2 linked regions of the Pelodiscus sinensis genome follow. The protein of the gene in region 1 purifies or fractionates together with the protein of each later gene. This does not show direct contact. Links are inferred from orthologs where the notes say so. Each region holds a gene or a part of one and is shown on either strand. Other genes may lie near its edges. The genes, in order: GJA1 and UBQLN4.

Region 1 (9,576 bases):
ACTAGATATCATGTGTCAACCTCTGCAAGAGAGATTCTAGGAAGTATTTCTTTTGTCTTCCCATGTTAGCTCCAAGGAAAGATGTTTGTCCTCATTGGTCCACTGTGACAGAGAAGGCAGGCACATTCATGAAAAAAAGATTATGGTATGGAAATGGACAAAAACAGATTTTCCCCCCCAAAATAGTTTCTTGATTTTAATAGCAGTTTCTGAATGATTTGAAAATACTACATTAGCAGACTTTCCCCAGGCTCAGTGGATTTTGTTACAGTGTAAATGTTATTTCAGATTGAAAGTATGATTAAAAAAACAGAAGAGGTGTTATTTCTAGGCAGTTATAGGCTGCTTGCTTTTTAATTACACTCCACTCTGATCCATTAATACAGTATGATATACTCCAGTTTTGACTGATTTAATTCCACACCTGCTGTATTTTTAGAACGTATTGCCTTGTTTCAGCATCCAAAATTGTTAAGTTCCATTATGTCCTCTGGCAATACAAACTCCAGGAGGACACATTCCTTGCTTGAATTACTCATACATAGTTTTGAAACACAAACTTTTTTATAAAGAGATCAGTTACCCTCTAGCATTTGCCAGTGATAAAACACCTACATCAGTTCATAACATTGTGCTGTTAAGCAGACAACCTTGAAATGGCACAAACATATTATTCCTTTGCTTAAGTAGAGACTATTGTTTTATGAAAACCAGTGTTTCAATTTGTCACAGAGAAAATTCATTGAGTGGATCTAAGCTGTTACTTTCAGTGTACTAAAAGAGCATTTTTATTAACTAATGTATACTATGTTACTAGATATTATAAAAGTTTAACTTTATTTCTGGAAGGAACGATTATGCAAATGTTCTTGCTGCTTTTACATTGCTTTAAAACTGAAGATCTCCTTTAGTGTGTAGCTCCTAATATCTCTTACCTTTTATGATTTAGACTGCTTTTAGCAATAGCATCCTAATGAAATGCTTGCATCATATTACAAGGACTGATAAAATTACTAGTTAGACCTTCCTCCTCCCCACGTTCAGCAAGGTACTTAAGCATGGGCTTGGTGTTACCCAAGTAGCCGAAGTTCTTACTCATTGCTATTTTATATGATGATATAGCTTCTATTTAGATGGCTAATACTAAACCTGGCCTGTAAAGCAATTTAGTAGATACATGTCTTCTCAATTCTACTATGTGTGTGTGTGTGTGTGTGTGTGTGTGTACTGAGTAAATGATGCACAGAAGAAAGAAATATGATAATACTCATCTGTATGTGCATGGGACAGCCACATGTAACAGAAATTGGATCTATACAACACAATAGAGAAATTGGAAAAAAAATTGTATGGAAGGCATTCACACTGTGTCTTGTGGGTCATATTTTCCAGGAGAGATAGGGTAGTCTGAGGTACCCTGCTACACCGTTTAAGTCTGACTGCAGTGTCCATAGAGCACATGGTAATGAGTGAATCAGGCACAGGACTGTAGCGCTCATAGTGTGTGGGATCTGAAATGAGGCTGCAAGAGTGATTAGGAAATGAGCCAAGATCTCTGGCCCTCCCATACACCCCCAAAAAACCCTGCCCTTGAAATACAAGTAGAAATAAATAACAAAACTGATCTTTTGAGAGGGTCCCTGCCACTTGAGCACTGAGCACCATGACCCTTTTCCAAGAGCAGCCAGCTGCTGAGGAAAAGGCACTAAAATGCCCAAAACTTGGGGTTGTGGTTTTTTAATGTTAAATGTATGCAGTCTCATAAAAGTTAAGGAAATGGTACTCTTACAGTCCACTGGAAAGATAGAGTCCACCTCTAGGTCTTTAGATACACTTCAAGGATAGAAAACTTCACTTACAAGACAGAGAGGGCATCCTAAATGGTCACACAGTAATCAGTGCTTAATAGTCATTGCTGGTGTTGATTTGTTTTCTTTTCTAAGCTCCGAGCGTTCATGACCATGCATGGATCCTCTCCTTAAGCTTTAGAGGCACTTTTTCCAGGTATCTCATTCTTTCTACCCAATCTATCTTTATGGAGCTTTACCGGAGGACCGAGCACGAGACAGGAAAAAATAACTCCATGAGAACTTCCAGTTGTACAAGTCAGGTCTCCAGATGATGAAATCCCTTAACAACCTATGAACCATGCACCCATGTTTTTGTTCAAATTCATCCATGATATAAGTGACTACAAATTCCTTTGAAATCATGAAATCTCTATCCACTTACTCTAATTATGAATTTGGTGCTTTATGTTTAACATGTATAAGTTTTCTGAAAAGAAAATATGATATAAATGTGTATCCAGATGCCTAGATTCAAGGGGCAAAGAGAATATTATTTGTTTCACTAGGAACACAATCCAAACTTTCAATCACACAAGCAGAGCCATGCACAGATACAAAATTTGCATCCACATCTGTATCCACAAAAATGAACTGTGGATATCTGCATCCACATCTGCAGATATGGTACCTGTGGATATAAAGCAAATATCCACAAATTTTCAGGGTTCTAGATACAAAATGTGTATCCACATCTGCACTCCTGTCCACAGAACAGAGCCGTGTATATCCACAGATATAAAGCAGATAACCATTAATTTGCAGGTTTCTACACACAAGTGTCTTTTTACCTAAACAGAAGTTCATTTGATTTCAATATCAGACTATATTCATTTTTCAGACTAGATAGAAATGAGATCTGAAAGCACTTTACAATATGTATTGGGTATACTGTGTATATACATATTTTGCTACAAATGCACTGCATCCTTCCTTTCCCCCTTTTGAACTCAGCCTGTTGCACATCCTTCTCATATTTGTATGTTTGTTAGGTGTCATGGGTCAGTGCCAATGTTCAGCTTTGAAGGTTTTGAGGGAAACACTTCTGTAAACATTTCAAAGTCAAGAGACTTCAGGAGTTCTATAGTGCAGTGTATGCTGTCCAGATGTTAAGATGGCAAGATGAAAGGCGCTGTGCAAGTTCCCTCCACATGCACAGACAGAGAAATTGGAGACATGAGTAGTTGCTCAGATCTGTTTTGTTGTTCATTTTTAATGAGACTCACTTAGAAGACTCTCCGTGAACATTCTGCTAGGAAAACTACCCCAAACTTCTGGGCAAGTAAGTTGTATTATGTAAGATGGGGGAAATCCTAGCTGGGCACAATAAAACACAATTGTGATGCCCCATTGAAGCCCATTCTTCACCCCCCTCATTTTGTTCTTTAATTATTGGCAAGAACCCGGAAAACAGCAATAAAGAATCAAGCCAGAGTCTTGCAATCTGCTTTAGACAAGGGTCAGTTCTGTGAAAGATGCTGCCCAAGAATTCCGTTCCTCTGCGGTCCTTTATTATGGTTCTCAAGGCAGATTATAGGAAATGTATCATGACATATTGGGACTATTCTCAGACTGCTTCCCTTAAAGAACTTTCACAGGCATTGCCAGCGTGGTGAGCGGATGTCTGAGTGCTGCATGATTCTTCTAAAATCCCTAACTGTGTTACTAACACAGAGTAACTATATACAAAATGTCTTTAAAAAAATCTTTAACATGTCTGGATTTTATCACATTCATTTAAAAGAAGGGAGAAAATGTTCAGCAAGGCCAGGTGAAAGTCACCAGATTAGTAGCAGCAGCAGCATTTTAACAAAACAACCAATTAAGACCCTAGCTTTGCATAAACTATTAAACATCAATCAAGATTTCCATATGAAAGCAAAATGTGTGGGAGACAAATGGAAAACACTTAGGATAGGAGCTCTCTGTTATTAACTTCTGAGACCTTTTCAGTAGAACAAGGGATTCCAGAACTTTGAAATTATTATTTTTCTTAAACTAGCAAATATAGACCTAGATAATTGTGAACATTGATTTTTTTTACCAAAATCAAATAAAGAGGCTCATAATCCCATGGTGCAGATGATGTTTTGCCATCGTTTACCTGTTACAGAATCAGGTTATTAGTTGAAAATTAAAATTATTTAGAGAAATGTTTAAAATATAACAAAAACAAACAAACAATCCCCAAAAATGTTAATCTCCAGAAATGGATAAATTTTAAACATGTTTTGCTGTTTTTTACAGTTTGCTTTAAATATTCCAATAATGAGGAAAACAATAGAAAACTCCTGAAATCAAACAAAGTAAAAACTTTCCAACTTACCCTTGCTGATGATCAGTGAAGCAAGCAAACAAGTGCCTCTTTGGAAGAACAAGCTAAAATGGAAAAGCAAGTTCAGGCTTTCGACCTGTCTATTTAAACTTTAAAAGTCTACTGCTGTTTTGTAGTTTTCATCCTTCCTTGCCCACTAATGAAAGAAAAGTGCTGATACCTTGTAAAAAGTTTTTTTCTAACTTTGAACACTGGGAGAGCTTTTAACAAGCCACTACAGGGAGGAGGGGAGAGGAGGGAAAGTCAGGGAATGGGGAGGAGAAAAGGGGGAGGAGGAAAAGCAAGAAGAGACAGCAGAAAACTTTATGGAATAAAGGAAAGAGAACTGAGCATATTGAAGTTGAACAAATGAAGGATCATTCCGTAAGGAGAGTTGAGATATTCTAAATGATACACTGAGTGGTAGTTTATTCAGAACCGAACTCAGAGTTACCTGAGACAAATGAGATGGTTTAACTTTCTTAAGATGTTTGAAGTCTTTGGAAAGGGAACAGAGAGTAAAAAATCAGTTTGTAACCTGAACCATCCTGCCAGGCTCTGCATTGGGATACACGGTTTTGCCTTCTCATTCCCCTCCCTGTGGAGTGGCAGTCACAACATGAGAAGTTTATATTCTCTTCTTTGCATATCTTTAGTTTACTTGCTCTATTTCCCTGAGGTGCTCAACAGAAAGCAACAGTGTGTTTGTTAATGTACTTTTCATACCTGTGGGTGCCTCAGAAGATAACACAGCACATGATTTTTTGGTGAAGGTTTCTGAGAAGCAGCGAACTTATATTCCAGAAAACTCATGCCATGAAGTTTCAGTACAACACCCAAAATATAATGCAGGGCATTCAGTCTCAAATAGTGAGCAGCACTGAGTAGTCACAGTATTTCAGTCCATGTCACTAAATGTACACAAGAAAAAAAAAAGTCCCTTCCAATTGGATTGAAGCCAAACTGACTTTTGCCCTGATCTGAATGAAATAAACCCTCTTACAACAAACGTGTTCTCTGTAAAACACAGCTGAATTTTATACCATCTATTGTGGTGAGGATTCTCAGACACAGAGTTGAACAAGTGTCCATATGAACTGGGCATTACATAAGGAACTGTATTTGTATTTTTCAAACCAGGTGGTATTGACTTTTTAACTTCCCAAGCCTGGGCAATAACTAGGTTAGTTTAGCAGCTACTCCAACAGCTCCCACTGGTTGGACAGCTTCCCATGACCATTCTTCTGTGATGGTGTACAGCTAGGTGTTTAGCAAGTTCATTTGGGGTCATAATCCTCAGGAAAGGGTATTTCTGGACTCGCTCAGGGTTAGCAGCGTCCAATCTCACTTAAGAGGCTAATATCAGGGAGGAGGTAAAATGATACCCATTTTGGTGTTCGTCACTGATTTTGAGTAAAATTCACCTACTCATCTTCTTGGAACTATTGATGTCAAATTATGTAAGGCTAAGTATAATATATAATAATATACAATATCATAGTCTTTTGCTTAGCTCTTACATAGTACTTTTCACCCACCACCCTCAAAGTACTTTATAGATCAAGGTAAGTATTGTTACTCCATCGGGGAAAGTAAGGCAAAGATGGACACACAGCTGTCTAGTGGGAAGACTGGCAAAAGAACCTAAATATCCTGATGCACAGGCCAGGGTCCACTCTGTCTCCTGTTTTTAAAAGATAGTATAGGGATTATGCATACATCCCAAAACACTTATTTCTTTTGCTACAGCCTGATCACAGCAACCCAAGTTCGCAGTGCAGCCATACAACAAATATAAGCACAACAGTAAATATAAGCACTATAGGGAAAATAAATTTGGTAATAATAGTCAATGTAATCTTTGGTACTTCCCTCTGAAAGGCAAGAGTGTTCTGTTTCAAACATCCAACAGGACATTGTAAAGAAAGAAGAAAGATGACAATTATGACAATTATTATTATTACTCTATGGCAAATTCCTTGCCAAGGTCTCCCTAAAAATTAAACATGACTGTCACTGAATTCATGTATCACAATTTGATTTTACCACCTCTGTCTTTGTAAAAGCGCCAGAGTTCCAGTCTTGTCTTTATTTGTGTGAGGAAGTAAATTAACTTTTTCAAACCAAATGAACATTTTCACACAGCTGCTTTTCAGACAGGCTCCTTAGTGTTCAACAGAAATTTTTCAGAATTGTGATATTTATATGTCTGTTCCTAACTGAGAAGGACAAGGAGGTGGATGAAAATAAGGACTTGGGCTCTCCCATGGAAATTTGCTGTTCTTGATCTGAAAGATCCTTCATTTTTTGAATGAACTCTTAAAGCACAGCACTCCTTGGGGCCAGTATTGCTATCTGATGGTTTTGAATTGTGAAGCAAAAGTTATGAGGCCAAGAAGCAACGCTTGAGCAGCATTCTATTTCTGTGAACATGTGTGGGTTTGAGCTGGCAGGCTAGAATTCAACTAGTGCAGGCAAGTTTCAGGTTCCTACCCAAACTTTTTATATTCCTCAGCTTCTTTAGTCATTGTGACTAAAACTCCAAGTCGGTATTTGATTTTCTGTTCAGTCATAATAGGATTTATATCCTTTGTATTAGGGAAGTAGTTCAGAGACTACACTTTTGTTTCAATTTTTTCTGACCAGAACTCAGATATATTTTGACAGTTTAGTTAATATTTATTGTCTTTAATACAGCATTCAGTCCGGTATTCTTTTTTTCTATTTATTACACACACATATCATAGTATAGTGCCCATGTGTACATCTAAACAAAGGCTTTATTCTGCATGCTGCCATTTTTTTAATCCTCCAGTTCACTGGGAAAGGCTAAATAGCTGAGTTTCATTTGAAATATAGCATTAATATGTTGGTATCCGGTCCCTGATGTTGAAATCTGTGCATACAGATTGGTGGGCGTTACAGAGGCCACATTTCCGATTGACTTCTAAGACCCACTCACAGCAAAGGGGTGTCACTAATCTATTAGTGCTCTGAAAGCACAGCACATTCTTAGCTTCAATCTGAGCATAAGTGTGTTGACTGCAAATCTCACTTCACTCTGCTTCCTTGTGCTGCTCAGCTCTCCTTTACTGCAGTTCCAAGAGTGAGGCCAATCAATGCAAAGTGCACTCAGCTGGGAACACATGCAGGGATTGTCTTAGGTGCTTTACAAGAGAATTAGGCCTCTAACCAGGAAGGTAACTTAACTAGGACCCTAGATGACCAATATGAGCAGCAAATTTTTACCATCATTCTTTGTTGTGTGCTTAGGGTTTATTGGTCTGGACTGTCCAATGTCTTGCTGGTAAAAGGTTGGGCACTCAGAATACACATTACCATAACTGTGATAGTTCTTGCTTATCTTAGTGCTTGAATGTGCAGCCTTAAGATTCTTTTAGAATAGTGGTGGTTTGTTCTTATATTGTAAAATTAACAAAAGTAGTACCAAGAAGAATTATATTCTTCATAGCTTTGAAGTTCTGCATTTGTCCAACAAATCAGCCATAACTCTGGTAATTTCCATAATCTAGGACTACATGGCTAGAAGATCTTATCTCGTACAATTTCAGACTGCAGAAGGAAACACCAAAAACATACATCCCGGGAATTTCAAAGGGTCTTAACTTGGACAAATAAAAGCTAAATGTCTTTGGATTGTAAACCCTGGGGACATGGATTATCTCTTTTCTATGCTTGTCCAGATCCCAGGGGCCCCAAATTGGAGTGAGACCTTTGGGTGCTACTTTTATATAAACATTTACTGAGAATGAATGTTTTCTTCAGAAGATTTCTTCTTAGTAAACATTATTGCCCTTCCTTTCCACCCTCAGCTGTTGTGACTGCAGGGATGTTCAAAACAGGTAGTAGTAGTCTTTTCTAATTAGAAAAGATGTTTTTTGACTCTCCTTTTACTCAAAATATGCTGAACTATTTTTGATCAACTATTACAATAAAGGGGAAAAAAGATATTGGGAGAGAATTTCAGCTGAAGGTTTCCAAAAGTGAGAAAGGACTAAAACCAGAATCTATTATTCAACTTTAACTGTAAAAATCACAGTCACTTCTGCTGTAATATTTTGTGATTCTAGCCTGCCATCTACCTAGGATCTCAGAGTGTGCTACAAACATCAATGAAAGTTAAGCCTTACTCTACTCCTATAAACTATGTCGTAGAAAGCATTTTAAAATATAAGGAAACTGAAGCTGGGAGAAGTTAAGTAGCTTACCCATGGCCACACATGTAGCCATTGGCAGAGACAGAATAAGAACTGGGATCTATTAACTCCCAGTCTTGAATTGTAAGTACTTCACCTCTCTCTAGTCTTTCTGCACTACTGTGTAAGCAGTAAGAACAATTAAATTCAGGTTTTAAAAAAATACAGCAGATGTTACTGAAGTCAATAGAAGTTTGATGTGAGGACAGGCTTTAGCAGATGTGGCTCTCTTCACCCACTCCCAGTATCACAGCATGCAACTGTGAAGTGCATTCTTCACAGCAGCCCATGAGATGTCACCACTGCCTGATCATGATAATGTACTCAATGTGATTTGCTTACTTCTCATGCCACATTCTGAGACATACTAACTTACCCCAATTTTATTGAGTGGTTTGTGGCAGAAAGCAATGAATTGTGCCTCTAATTCCTATTTACTGTGCTAGCAAAGATAGCAGAAATTAATCAAGAGAGCCTAAAGATTGAAAATTACAGCTCTATTAAAATAAAATAAAATAAAATAAAATAAAATAAAAAATCAGTGTAATTGATTCTGGTTAATATTCCCCCCCCCCCCAACAAAGTACGTTCCATCAAAGCAATTATATAAATTAAAAAGCCAGTCAGAGGAGCATTTCAAGCAGGAAAAGAATGTGTACATAGATCCTTATGAATTTGGCTCCACCTTCTGTACACAGTGAAAATAAACATGAATTAAACTGTGTCTTGAATGCCATTTTAGTCTGGTTTTTTGGTTTTACTTTTCAGTTCAATTTCAAAAGCCTGCCCACTTAGGTCCTCATGCATTTTAGTAAATCTTAATCTCTACATACTGAGACAGAGGTTTTTCAATAATTCCGTTCCAAAAAACAGAATATTTTTTTTATAATTCATTCACTTTAGCAAACTGAAATCAGGGTAGCAACTGGGACTATTTAAAGATGTGTGACCTTTAGATTTTGTATGTGTGGAGGGCAGTTGGCAATCATTCAATTAGTGTATGTTAAAATTTTGCATAGACTGTGAAGTGCTTACTTACATCAGCAAGTAGGTGTTCACATTTGTAATCCCACTGAATTTATTAGGACTCTACCCACGAGTCACTGCTCACTATAGTAAGCAAGGGCTCCACAGTTGGAATCCTAACTAGAATCTTATGTATGAATAAAAGGAAAAGAGGCTGAAAACCCCTAAAGTT
Region 2 (10,487 bases), on another chromosome or scaffold:
AGCAGGGAAAATATTAGTAATCTGCTCTCCAAGTTCCCATCCCCTGTCCCCCACAATGCCTTCTGGAGGAAGTCCTGGCCAGACCCTTTTACCCCTATCAATGTGCCCTCTAATTTTTTCCACCCATATGGAAAATAAAATTTATGTGCAAATGTGCACCACCAGCAGAAATAGGTTACTGGCTGTGGGCACTGCAAGTGTTCTGCTAATCAGCTGGGCAGCATTTGAATCTCTCCTAGGTGACTGTCCAAGGCAAGCACTCAGCTTACAGGGAATGCTGACCCCCCCCCCCCCCCATCCACATCTAATGCCTCTGAGGAGGGACTACTCCTTATTAGGGTGCACTGGGCTGCTTCTTCCTCCCCACTTTTCAGAAAAGGAATTGTACAACACAACTGAAGCTGGGTGGGGGGCCACCAAGATGTCTCTGTTCCTACCGGGGCATGAAGTGGGAGATGTAGGGAGAGGGGAAGACCCTTTGGAGGAGGGGGCACTAATCCTTAATGGGACCACTGATCTGGTCACAATACTTCAGGGACAGGGTTCCCTGATCCATACCCAGCCATGCCCACTCCTCTCCCCCACCACTCCCTTTATACTCACAGGGTGCTCTGGACCCCTCCAGTGTTGGCTTGGCTCAAGACCTGGGTTAGGGCCTTCGGGCGCAGCATGGTAGCAACAGATCCTTTTTCCTCCCTGCAGTGGTGGAAACACACACAGCTCAGAGAGCCTGCTTCCCCATCAGCTGATCAACCCGTGCAGGGCGACTTCAGCCCACAGCAGGCTGGGAGTTGTAGTTCTTTTCCAGTTCTGTTGCATAGACAGGGCATTTCATGCACACAGATTGCAGGGCAATTTCTCTTTGTGGGTGACTAGCATACCGCTGGTGCTACACACCAAACGACCCCAGTCCTTAGCAGTTCACACAACTACTGTGATCTCCTGTAATCACACCACAGGAAACATACCATTTACCTTCATACAAGCTACAGACAACTCACACATTTTGGGTCTTTTTAACATCCCCAGCTGCTGGAGTCAGTTGAACCTCAGCTTTCATGAAAACAAAGTTTCTAAACTTCACGATTGCCATGTTGCAAATGCCAAGCATGTAGAAAGGGAAGAGATAGAAAGAGACCCACGGGTCAGCCCCCTAGAACAATTTTGTGTTCTTTTTATTTGCTTGCTGGATTTCGAGCCTTTAGGAATATGTAGGTCACATTTACAAGATTTTTTTCCCCCGCAAAAAACCCATCAGCTCCATATCTATCTGACTTCTATAGGACTTCAGGTGTTCATGCTGGAAATCAGACACCAAATATGAGGAGGCTGGTGATTCAAAACAAAACCACCAACCTACTGTCTGGGGACATTGCAGTTGTAGAGGAAAAACTGATAAGCATGACATCTAAAGACTCAGGAAAAAAAAGCAAATACATGTTATTTTTGGAAGATCTTGTCATTTTTAAGCCAATCTCATGGCTTCTGGCAGACCTGACCCAGGAGTTTGATAATTTGGGCAGGGATGACACTGCAGCCCTATCAGTGTCATTTTCCCTATTGCTGGTCCCATCTGTTTATAAAATTCTCTACTACCCCAGGTACCCCCAATCCCTGTGGGGGCAGTAGAAGAAAAGCATAGGCAGGTGCGTGAGTGAACTGGGAAACTTTTTTCTTCTTAGCCCTGTGTACCTTTTAAGGACAGAGAATTCTGTATCTATGCAGGGACAGCTATCAGTCTAGGAAGCAAAGCTAATGCAGTATGTTACTGAAGGCCACATTTCTTGCACTCCACCACCATGACCACAGGTGTTCCCTGAAAGCTGGGCACTTGCACAGCCACTCAGGGGAGATTCAAACATCACTCAGCTGATTAGCAGAGCACTCACAGATAGCAATTTTTTTAATGTGCACTGAGGCATGTATGACTGTCCACTGTCCTTAAAACAAAAAAGCTACACACATGGATGGAAGAGAGAAGGAACATTGTTCAGGAGGACAATGAAAATGCAGTTGTCCTCCTTCAGAGTTCTAGGAGCATACATCCCATTTCATCCCCAAATAGGGACTCCTGATTTGTTTAAAAAAAAAAAAAAAAAAAAAAAAAGGCTCCATTGGGCTGGACCCAGGTATACACATATTACAGTAACACATCAAAGGCCTAATTGTGAAGCAAGATAGACTCTGTAGTCCCCCCTCCAAAGAATTTTAAACTTAATTAAGTTTAGCTAAGTATCCCAGCAAAACCAAGCCATTTTGCCAAAGTCTGCCCCCAACTGACAGTGCTGAAGAATATTGGCGGAGAAGGGGGGTTGAAGAATATTGGGGGAGAAGAATTACCCTCACCCAAGTGCTGCTTTAACAACATTGTAGCCCCACAATAATTACATTTGTAGCACAGATAACCCCTAAAAAAGGTCAAGAATCAAATAACTAAGTTACTTTCACACACAGCTACTTACATTAAGAGACTAGTTGCCTATCAGAGATTAGCAAGCACTCTCCAGTGCTTTTTATAGTTCTTTTGCAACAGCTCATTCCTGGGGGAGTGTGGGAGGAGCCTTCGAACCCTCCTTCCAACAGACTTTATCACTAATTAGACTGGGACTTGAGGATTCCCTGCTCTGCCATAGATTTCCTGTGTGACCTTGGGTAAATCATTTAATCTGCCTATGCCTCCAATCCCTGTATGTAAAAACTGGGGGCATCTGCACAGCACTGCCTCACATGGGGTTACTTTCAGGATAATATTCTATAGGTTGGAGGGGACTCAGATACTAAAATAATGGTGGCCAATGGGCCATATAAAGACCTTAGATTGATACACACATTAGAAGAACTGACTAGGCCTTGTCTTTACCAGCCACGCACCAACTGCCCCCTTGTTGTAGTTATTGAAATATGAGCACTAATTTTGCTGTGGTAGACAGTGCCTAATAGGTAGTGGTGTATTTTTCTGGTGTCTTTTTGTTGCTATCTCAGAAAACATACAGGGTGGATCTTGAATATTATTATTATACATAATTAATAATAAATCTTCCTTATGCTTCTTTCTTTTTTTCTTTCTTTCTTTCTTCAGAATCTGAGGAAGTGAATTGTAACTCAGGAAAGCATACAATCTAATACACTAATAAATCTGTTAGTTTTTAAAGTGCCACTGGACTCTTTGTTTTTGCTAAAACAGACTAACATGACTCTGAAACCTAACATTATATCAGCTGCTGATATCCCCAGGCATTATCCACAACAGACTGGATAGCCATAATCAGGGCTCACCGAACCACGGCGAGTCCCACTCGCCAGCCGTGCTGTCCGGAAATCTGCGCATGTGCAGATCACCCGAACCTGGCTCTTCCGGGTTGCAATCTACTCACCAAGGGCAAGTAGATTGTATTATTTGTTGAGCCCTGGCCATAATTAACTACTAGCACAGCTCTGAATACGGATGTTGTATTCAGTGTAGACAGGGTTTTCCCCACACTTCATTCCTATCTTTCTTTCTCACTCCAGATGCCCATTCCCAACTATCACTCAGAACTGTCCCTTCCAATCTGTCCCAGCCTAATTGCCACGGAATCTTTTGATCCTAATATTCCAACACCAGCTACTACAGAACACTCTGACTCCACATTCTATCCCCATGAAACCCTTTGATCCTGACACTCCATCCTCAGCTGTCATAGAACCTTGTTCCATGTTGTGGATATGACAACAAAAATGATTAAATACCTAAAAAACATGATCCATGAGGGAAGACTGAAAGAACTGGGTTTGTTTATTCAGGAAAAGAGAAGACTGAGAGGGAACATAACAGCTTTCAAGTGCCTAAAGGGTTGTTAGAAGGGAAAGGAGAAAAATTATTCTCCTTAACCTTTGATGATAGGACAAGAAGCAATGGCATAGAAGGTTCAGGTTGGACATTAGGAAGAAATTCCTAACTGTCAAGGTGGTTAAACACTGGAATAAATTGCCGAGGGGGGTTGTGGAATCTCCATCATTAGAGATTTTTAAGAGCAGATAACACAAACATCTATCTGGGATGAGATGATACTTGGTCCAGCCATGTGTGTAGGACTTGATGACCTTCTGAGGTCTCTTCCAGTTCTAGTATCCTATGAATTGGTGATATGGAATGGCTTCCAAATGAGGAGAGGTTAATAAAAGTGGGACTTTTCAGCTTGTGAAAGAGACATCTAAGGGGGAATATGATAGAGGTCTATAAAATCATGACTGTTGAGGGGAAAGTAAATAAGGAAGTGCTGTTTACTCATTCCCATAACAAAATAACTAGAGGTCACCAAATGAAATTAACAGACAGCAGGTTTAAAACAAACAGGAAGTATTTCTTCACAAAATGCACAGTCAACCTGTGGAACTCCTCATTAGAGGATGTTGTGAAGGCCATGACTATAACAGGGTTTAAAAAAGAGCTAGATAAATTAATGGAGGGTAGGTCCATCATTGGCTATTAGCCAGGATAGGCAGGGATTTTGTTTATCAGAGGCTGGGAATGAGTGACATGGGCTGGATCACTTAATGATTCCCTGTTCTGTTCATTCCCTCTGGGGCACCTGGCATTAACCCTTTTCAGAAGACAGGATACTGGGCTAGATGTAATTTTCAGTGGTGCTCAGAATGGGCCCAAGATCAGGACCAGAGGCAACTATCCCAGGCCCTGTGCTTTGGGGGTCCAGGGTGGCCTGAAGGATTAGTGGGGGGCCTGGCACTGGCAACAACAAGTGACCTCTCCCTGCTCTGGCCCACTTTGCTGGCTCCTGGCATTGCTCAGGGGAGAGACAGAAGCTGGAAAGAGGAGTGGGGTGGGGGTTGAATGAAAAGGTGGAGTGGGGGCATGGTGGGGTGGAAATGCTGCTAGTACCAGGCCCCCCTGATAAGCCCACCAGGCAGCCCTGGTCTGTGCATCCCCCAGAAGCACAGGGCCCTCCAGAGCAGAGGGCAGTTGTCCCAGTCTGTCCTATGGACAGGATGGCTCTCAAAATATCAGCCCAAATGTTGCTGGAGTTGGGCCCATGTTCCTGAGTATTGGTGGAGCACAGGCACAATGGGCCAATATAACTAATTGCCTATGGCTAGCTGGATCTTTGGTATGACCCAGTGTGACCATTCTTACGTTTTCCCTGTCTGATACCAACTTTCCATCCCTCTGAAACAAAGCCTCCCATCCCCAGTTACCTACCACAGAGCCCTCTGATACCACCATTCCATCCCCAACTACCACGGAACCCTCTGATCCTGACATTCCATCCCCAGCTGCCACAGAACCCCCTGAACCTGACATTCCATCCCCAACTACCACGGAACCCTCTGATCCTGACATTCCATCCCCAGCTGCCACAGAACCCCCTGAACCTGACATTCCATCCTCAACTATCACAGAATCCTCGGATCCCCACATTCCATCCCCAGCTGCCACGGAACCCTCTGATCCCGACGTTCCATCCCCAGCTGCCAAGGAACCCTCTGATCCCGACATTCCATCCCCAGCTGCCAAGGAACCCTCTGATCCCGACATTCCATCTCCAACTGCCACAGAACCTTCTGATCCTGACGTTCCATCCCTAGCTACCACGGAACCCTCACATACCAACATTCCATCCGCAGCTGCCAGGGAACCCTCTCATACCAACATTCTCTCTCTTCTCCTTTTAAAGGGACACCACCCCAGTCTATTCTGTTGGCTGTCAGACGGGGAACCAAAAGGAGAGACCGCGCCGCCTGACCCGCCCAGTCACCCTGTCCTGCCCTCCGCCCCCTGCACAGTGAGTCTGAGGCTGCTCCTGCCTTCCCTGCAGTTCCCGCTCCGTGGCTCTCCCCGCATTTCAGTTCTCCGCCTGGTCCACTCCCCTCCCCCGTGGGGCTCCCTCCCGGTCCGCTCCCACCGAGATTATCCCACGGTGCACACCCACCTCTGCCCCCCCCCAGGTTCTCGCTGTAGTCCGACTCCACCCCCCCCCCCCGCTGCAGTTCCCCGCCGAGCCAGGCGGGGGCGCTGTGCGCCGGCCTCTCCCCGCCGCCGCGGCCGGGGCGCCGCTCTCCCCACGCCGGCTGCCGGGGCGGGCTGGCTGGCTGGGGCGGGCGGCGAAGATGGCGGAGCTGAGCGGCGGCGGCCCGGGCCCCGGCGGGGAGGGCGAGGCGGAGCTGGGCGGCCCCGCGCCCGGCGGGCTCCTCATCCGCGTCACGGTGAAGACCCCCAAGGACAAGGAGGAGATCGTCATCGGGGACGGCGCCTCCGTGCGGGAGGTGGGGCCGGGCAGGGGGCTGCGTGTGGGGGGAGGGGCCGGGGGGGCTGAGGGCGGCTGGGCGCTGCGTGTGGGGGGAGGGGGAGGCGGGCCGGGCCCGGGGGGCTGCGTGTGGGGCAGAGAGCCGTGGACAAGCGGCTGCATGGTGGGGGGGCCGCGGGCTGCGTTTGCCGGGGCGGGGCGGTGGGGGGCTGCGTGTGGGGTCGGGGGCTTCGGGCGGGAAGTGGGACTGGGCCGGAGACCCGGCTGCGCTTGGGGGGGGTGGGGCCGGGGGAGGTCGGAGGTTGAATGGCCCGGGGCATGTGAAGCTGGGGAGCGAATAGGGGAGGGGTTAGTGAAAGGGCCGGGGGGGGGGCGGGATCTGGATTAGGGAAGCTGGGGGGGACCGAGTCTGGAGGGGTGGACCCGAGAGACGGGGCTGGGCTGAGACATGGGTTCTAGGTACGAGCCGTGTGAGTGGGAGCCAGGGAGCAGGGTGGAATCACAGCTTGGGCAGTGGAGGAGGAGGGAGGATCTTGGGACGGGTTTACCTGGGCTGATGGGTAAGGTTTGGAGGAGAGAGCCTGGGGTCCAGATAAGGGATGTAAAGTCCTGTTTAAAATGTTAATCGGTATGTGGAACCGGTGAACAGGGGCTGCTCCAGCTCCTGCTGTGCCATGGGGATGCTCTGGCTCTGCTGGGCCCGAGCAGCCCCCTGCCTGTGGGCTGGTGAGCTGGGCGCCGGTTAACTAGTAAGTAAGTGTGCCAGCAAAGCAAAGCTTACTGGTTAACTGGTTACCCCTTTACATCTCTAATTCAGGTGCATCTGGGGGCTGGAGTGGGATTTAGGGCACCACGTGCAGTTGTGAGTGGATTTAGAGGGAACCGTCGGTGTTGCAGAAACGTGGTCATGGCACCAGGGCAAAGTATCCCTGGCGCTGCTTGTGGCAGCAGAGGCTGTGGCAACCTTTGTTGGTTTCTGTTGCAGGATGTGGCAACTGAGTTCAAGGCTTAGTGGATGTGATGATTGGAGCAAAGTCCCTGTCTGGTCCCTTTGGTACCCCGGCTCCTAAGCATTCAGTTCTTACCAGCCCCTCAGTACCAATGAGGTATTAAGGCAGGGGTGGGGAATGTCAGGCGTTGGGGGCCGAATGTGGCCCCCAGCTTGCATGGATCTGGCCCCCAGGCTCAGCATTGGGGAGCCCCTGCTTGTGCTCCAACCCCCCTGCCATTTGCAGGTTGGAGCACACAAAATCTACTAGCCTGGGTCCCCTAGGCTCTGATGTGCAAGGGGAACATGGGGAGTGTTTTTTCTCCTTCTTACCTGTGTGCAGCCCCTGACTGTTTTTTCTGTGGGTCAGCAGCCCCCGACCCAAAAAAGTTCCCCTCCCCTGCATTAAGGGAATGTTGCATTCAGAGGTGGGTATGAGGGATGCGATTTTAGCTGGGTGTCCTTGCTGGCTTCGCACCCTTGTGGTCATTGGAGTCGAGCTCAGGGGCTGGGTAGTGGTCAGATCATGTTCCAAGGCAGGAGTGGGGAACCTTTTGTGGGGGGGGGGGAGCCGCTGACCCCAGAAAAATCAATCGGGGGCTGCACACAACTGAGAAGAAAAGAAAATGTCACTGACCTGACCCCTGACTGATGAGAGAGAGACTCTTCACATTCTCCTCACACACTAGGGCTGTGTCTACATTGGCAAGATTTTGTGCAAAAACTTGCCGCCTATCTACACTGGCTACGAGTTCTTGCGCAAGAACACTGATGTTCTAATGTAAGAAATCAGTGCTTCTTGCGCAAGAACTATGACGCTCCTGCTCAGGTATAAGCCCTCTTGCGCAAGTGGCCAGGCAACATTAATTTCTTGCGCAAGAAAGCCCGATGGCTAAAATGGCCATCGGAGCTTTCTTGCACAAGAGAGCGTCTACACTGGCACGGATGCTTTTGGGCAAAAGTACATCTCTTGCGCAAAAGCACGTGCCAGTGTAGACGTTCTCTTGCGCAAATACTTTAACGCAAAAACTCTTGCGTTAAAAGTATTAGCGCAAAATCTTGCCAATGTAGATGTAGCCTAGGGGGCCCAGGCTAGTAGATTTTGTGCCCCAGCCCTGTGATGAGAAGATAGGGTGGGGCTGGAGCAGCAGCATGAGCTCCCCAATGCTGGGGGGAGCGTTGAGCCTCGGGCCGGCTTCAGAAAAGCTGGCCTTAGGTTCCCCACCCCTGTTATAAGGTATAGCACACTGAGGGTGTGTCTAGACTACAGGGTTTTGTCGACAAAAGTGGACTTTTGTCGAAACTATACCTGCGTCCACACTGCCTTTGAGTTATGTCGACATAACGTCGACAAAACTCAGCAGTTTTGTCGACGTATGTAAACCTCATTCTACGAGGAATAACACCTTTTGTCACCAGAGTTCTGTCGATAGAAGGCATTATTGCATCTACACTGTCCTTTGCGTCCACACTGTCATGTCGACAAAGCGGCTTGCTTTGTCGACAGAACTGGATGTAGTCTAGACGCTCTTTGTCGACAGAAGCTTTGTCGACAGTATCTGTGGACAAAACCCTGTAGTCTAGACATACCCTGAAAGAAATAGAATGGTAGAAGTTAGACCAAGGAAAGACTTCATTTAGTCTATTTCCCCTGGCTATTGCACCGTTGTTCCCAGGTTTTCAGCGCTTTTCCCTGTTTTAAAATCACTCAAAAGCTGGCTTTCCCTTTATAAACTTGAAAAGGAGAAAGACACAAAAAAGCTGTAGACATGCAAAGGATAAACTGTGTTGCTGGATGAGATCAAAAAGGGGTAACTGATCTGGCTTTGTTAGCCCTCCTTTCTGTTTGAGGTAATTGTGCTGTGGCTCTTTCCCTGCCCCTTCCTGAAGTCTGACCTATGCTTGCCAGGTGGATGCAGGATTCTTATTCCTGTTAAACAGCTTAGACATCCCACCCCAGCAGTTGGTGAGTGAACTGACACCTTCTTGGCATCCTTCAGGTGGGGAAGTTTTGTCAGCTATTGGTACTGTCTGGGTAGTGAGACTGATGTTCTGCTGCAGACGTTTAGACAGTTTAAAATCACTGCTTTCAGACCTTTGCACGTAAACAAGAGTAAGTTCTCATGTCTTAAGCAAGACACGAAAAGTAATTCTTCTGCTCTGCTGTGTGCTCTTTGGGCACAATATTTCAGTTGAGGCCTAATCTGGGCATCACATTTCAGGAAAGATGTGGACAAATTGGAGAAGGTGCAGAGAAGAGCAACAAAAATGATGAAGGGTCTAGAAAACATGACTGATGAGGAAAGACTGAAATAATTGGGTTTGTTTAGTTTGGAAAAGAGAAGAGGGAACATGATAACAGATTTCAGGTACCTAAAAGGTCATCAAAGGTTACAAGTAGGAGGGAAAAAATATTTTCCTTAACCTCTAAGGACAGGACAAGAAGCAATGGGCTTAAATTGCAGCAAGGGAGGATTAGGTTGGACATTAGGAAAATCTTCCTAATTGTCAGGGTGGGTAAGCACTGGAATAAATTGCGGAAGGAGTGGTGGAATCTCCATGATTACAGATATTTAAGAGGAGGTTAGGCAAAAATTTGTCAAGGATGAACTAGATGGTGCTTGGTCCTGCCGTGAGTTCAGGGGACTGGATTTGATGACCTCTCAGTGTCCCTTCCAGCTCTAGTATTCTATGATTTTTGATTCATAGGTCTGTCAGTGCCTGTTAGGCAAGATGGCCAGGGATGCAATCCCATGCTGTGTGCTGAGACTCTTAACTACCAGAAGCTAGGAGTGGACAAATGGGTTGGATCACTTGATGACTCATCTGTTATGTTCATTTGCTCTGAAGCATGTCTGGCATCAGCCTGTTAGAAGACAGGATACTGGGCTAAAAGGACCAATGTCATGATTCAGTTTGGCTGTTCTTAAATCGCTTGTTGTCTATTTTCCAGTTCAAAGAAGAGATTTCCAGGCGGTTTAAAGCCAAACAGGATCAGCTGGTTCTGATCTTCGCTGGAAAGATCCTGAAGGATGGAGACACTTTGAATCAACATGGGATCAAAGACGGGCTGACTGTGCATTTGGTCATTAAAACCCCACAGAAGTAAGAACTCATTCCTTCCGGGGGGCTGTCAGAATCTTACTTTGTGAAGAAAGTAGCTTCGAAAAGGCAGCATTTTGTCCAGGGGCTAAAGCAGGATAGTGGGATTAGGAACTCCTCCTGGGTTCTATTTCTGGCTCTGTGGGGGTGCTTGA

The links.
Region 2: the proteins of GJA1 (region 1) and UBQLN4 purify together in Homo sapiens (affinity purification with western blotting; 3 studies listed by BioGRID). This does not show direct contact. The link is inferred for Pelodiscus sinensis from reciprocal best matches to the Homo sapiens genes GJA1 and UBQLN4.

What each region holds. Positions count from the first base shown.
Region 1 is NC_134713.1:86,758,951-86,768,526, reverse strand, and holds the start of GJA1 (gap junction alpha-1 protein), read right to left. Parts: upstream 4,402-9,576; 5' UTR 4,174-4,401; intron 1-4,173. UniProt on the Homo sapiens protein: Gap junction protein that acts as a regulator of bladder capacity. A gap junction consists of a cluster of closely packed pairs of transmembrane channels, the connexons, through which materials of low MW diffuse from one cell to a neighboring cell.
Region 2 is NC_134734.1:16,812,990-16,823,476, forward strand, and holds the start of UBQLN4 (ubiquilin-4), read left to right. Parts: upstream 1-6,056; 5' UTR 6,057-6,105; coding exon 6,106-6,261; intron 6,262-10,183; coding exon 10,184-10,335; intron 10,336-10,487. Other genes in the region: ragulator complex protein LAMTOR2, read right to left, coding at 604-671. UniProt on the Homo sapiens protein: Regulator of protein degradation that mediates the proteasomal targeting of misfolded, mislocalized or accumulated proteins.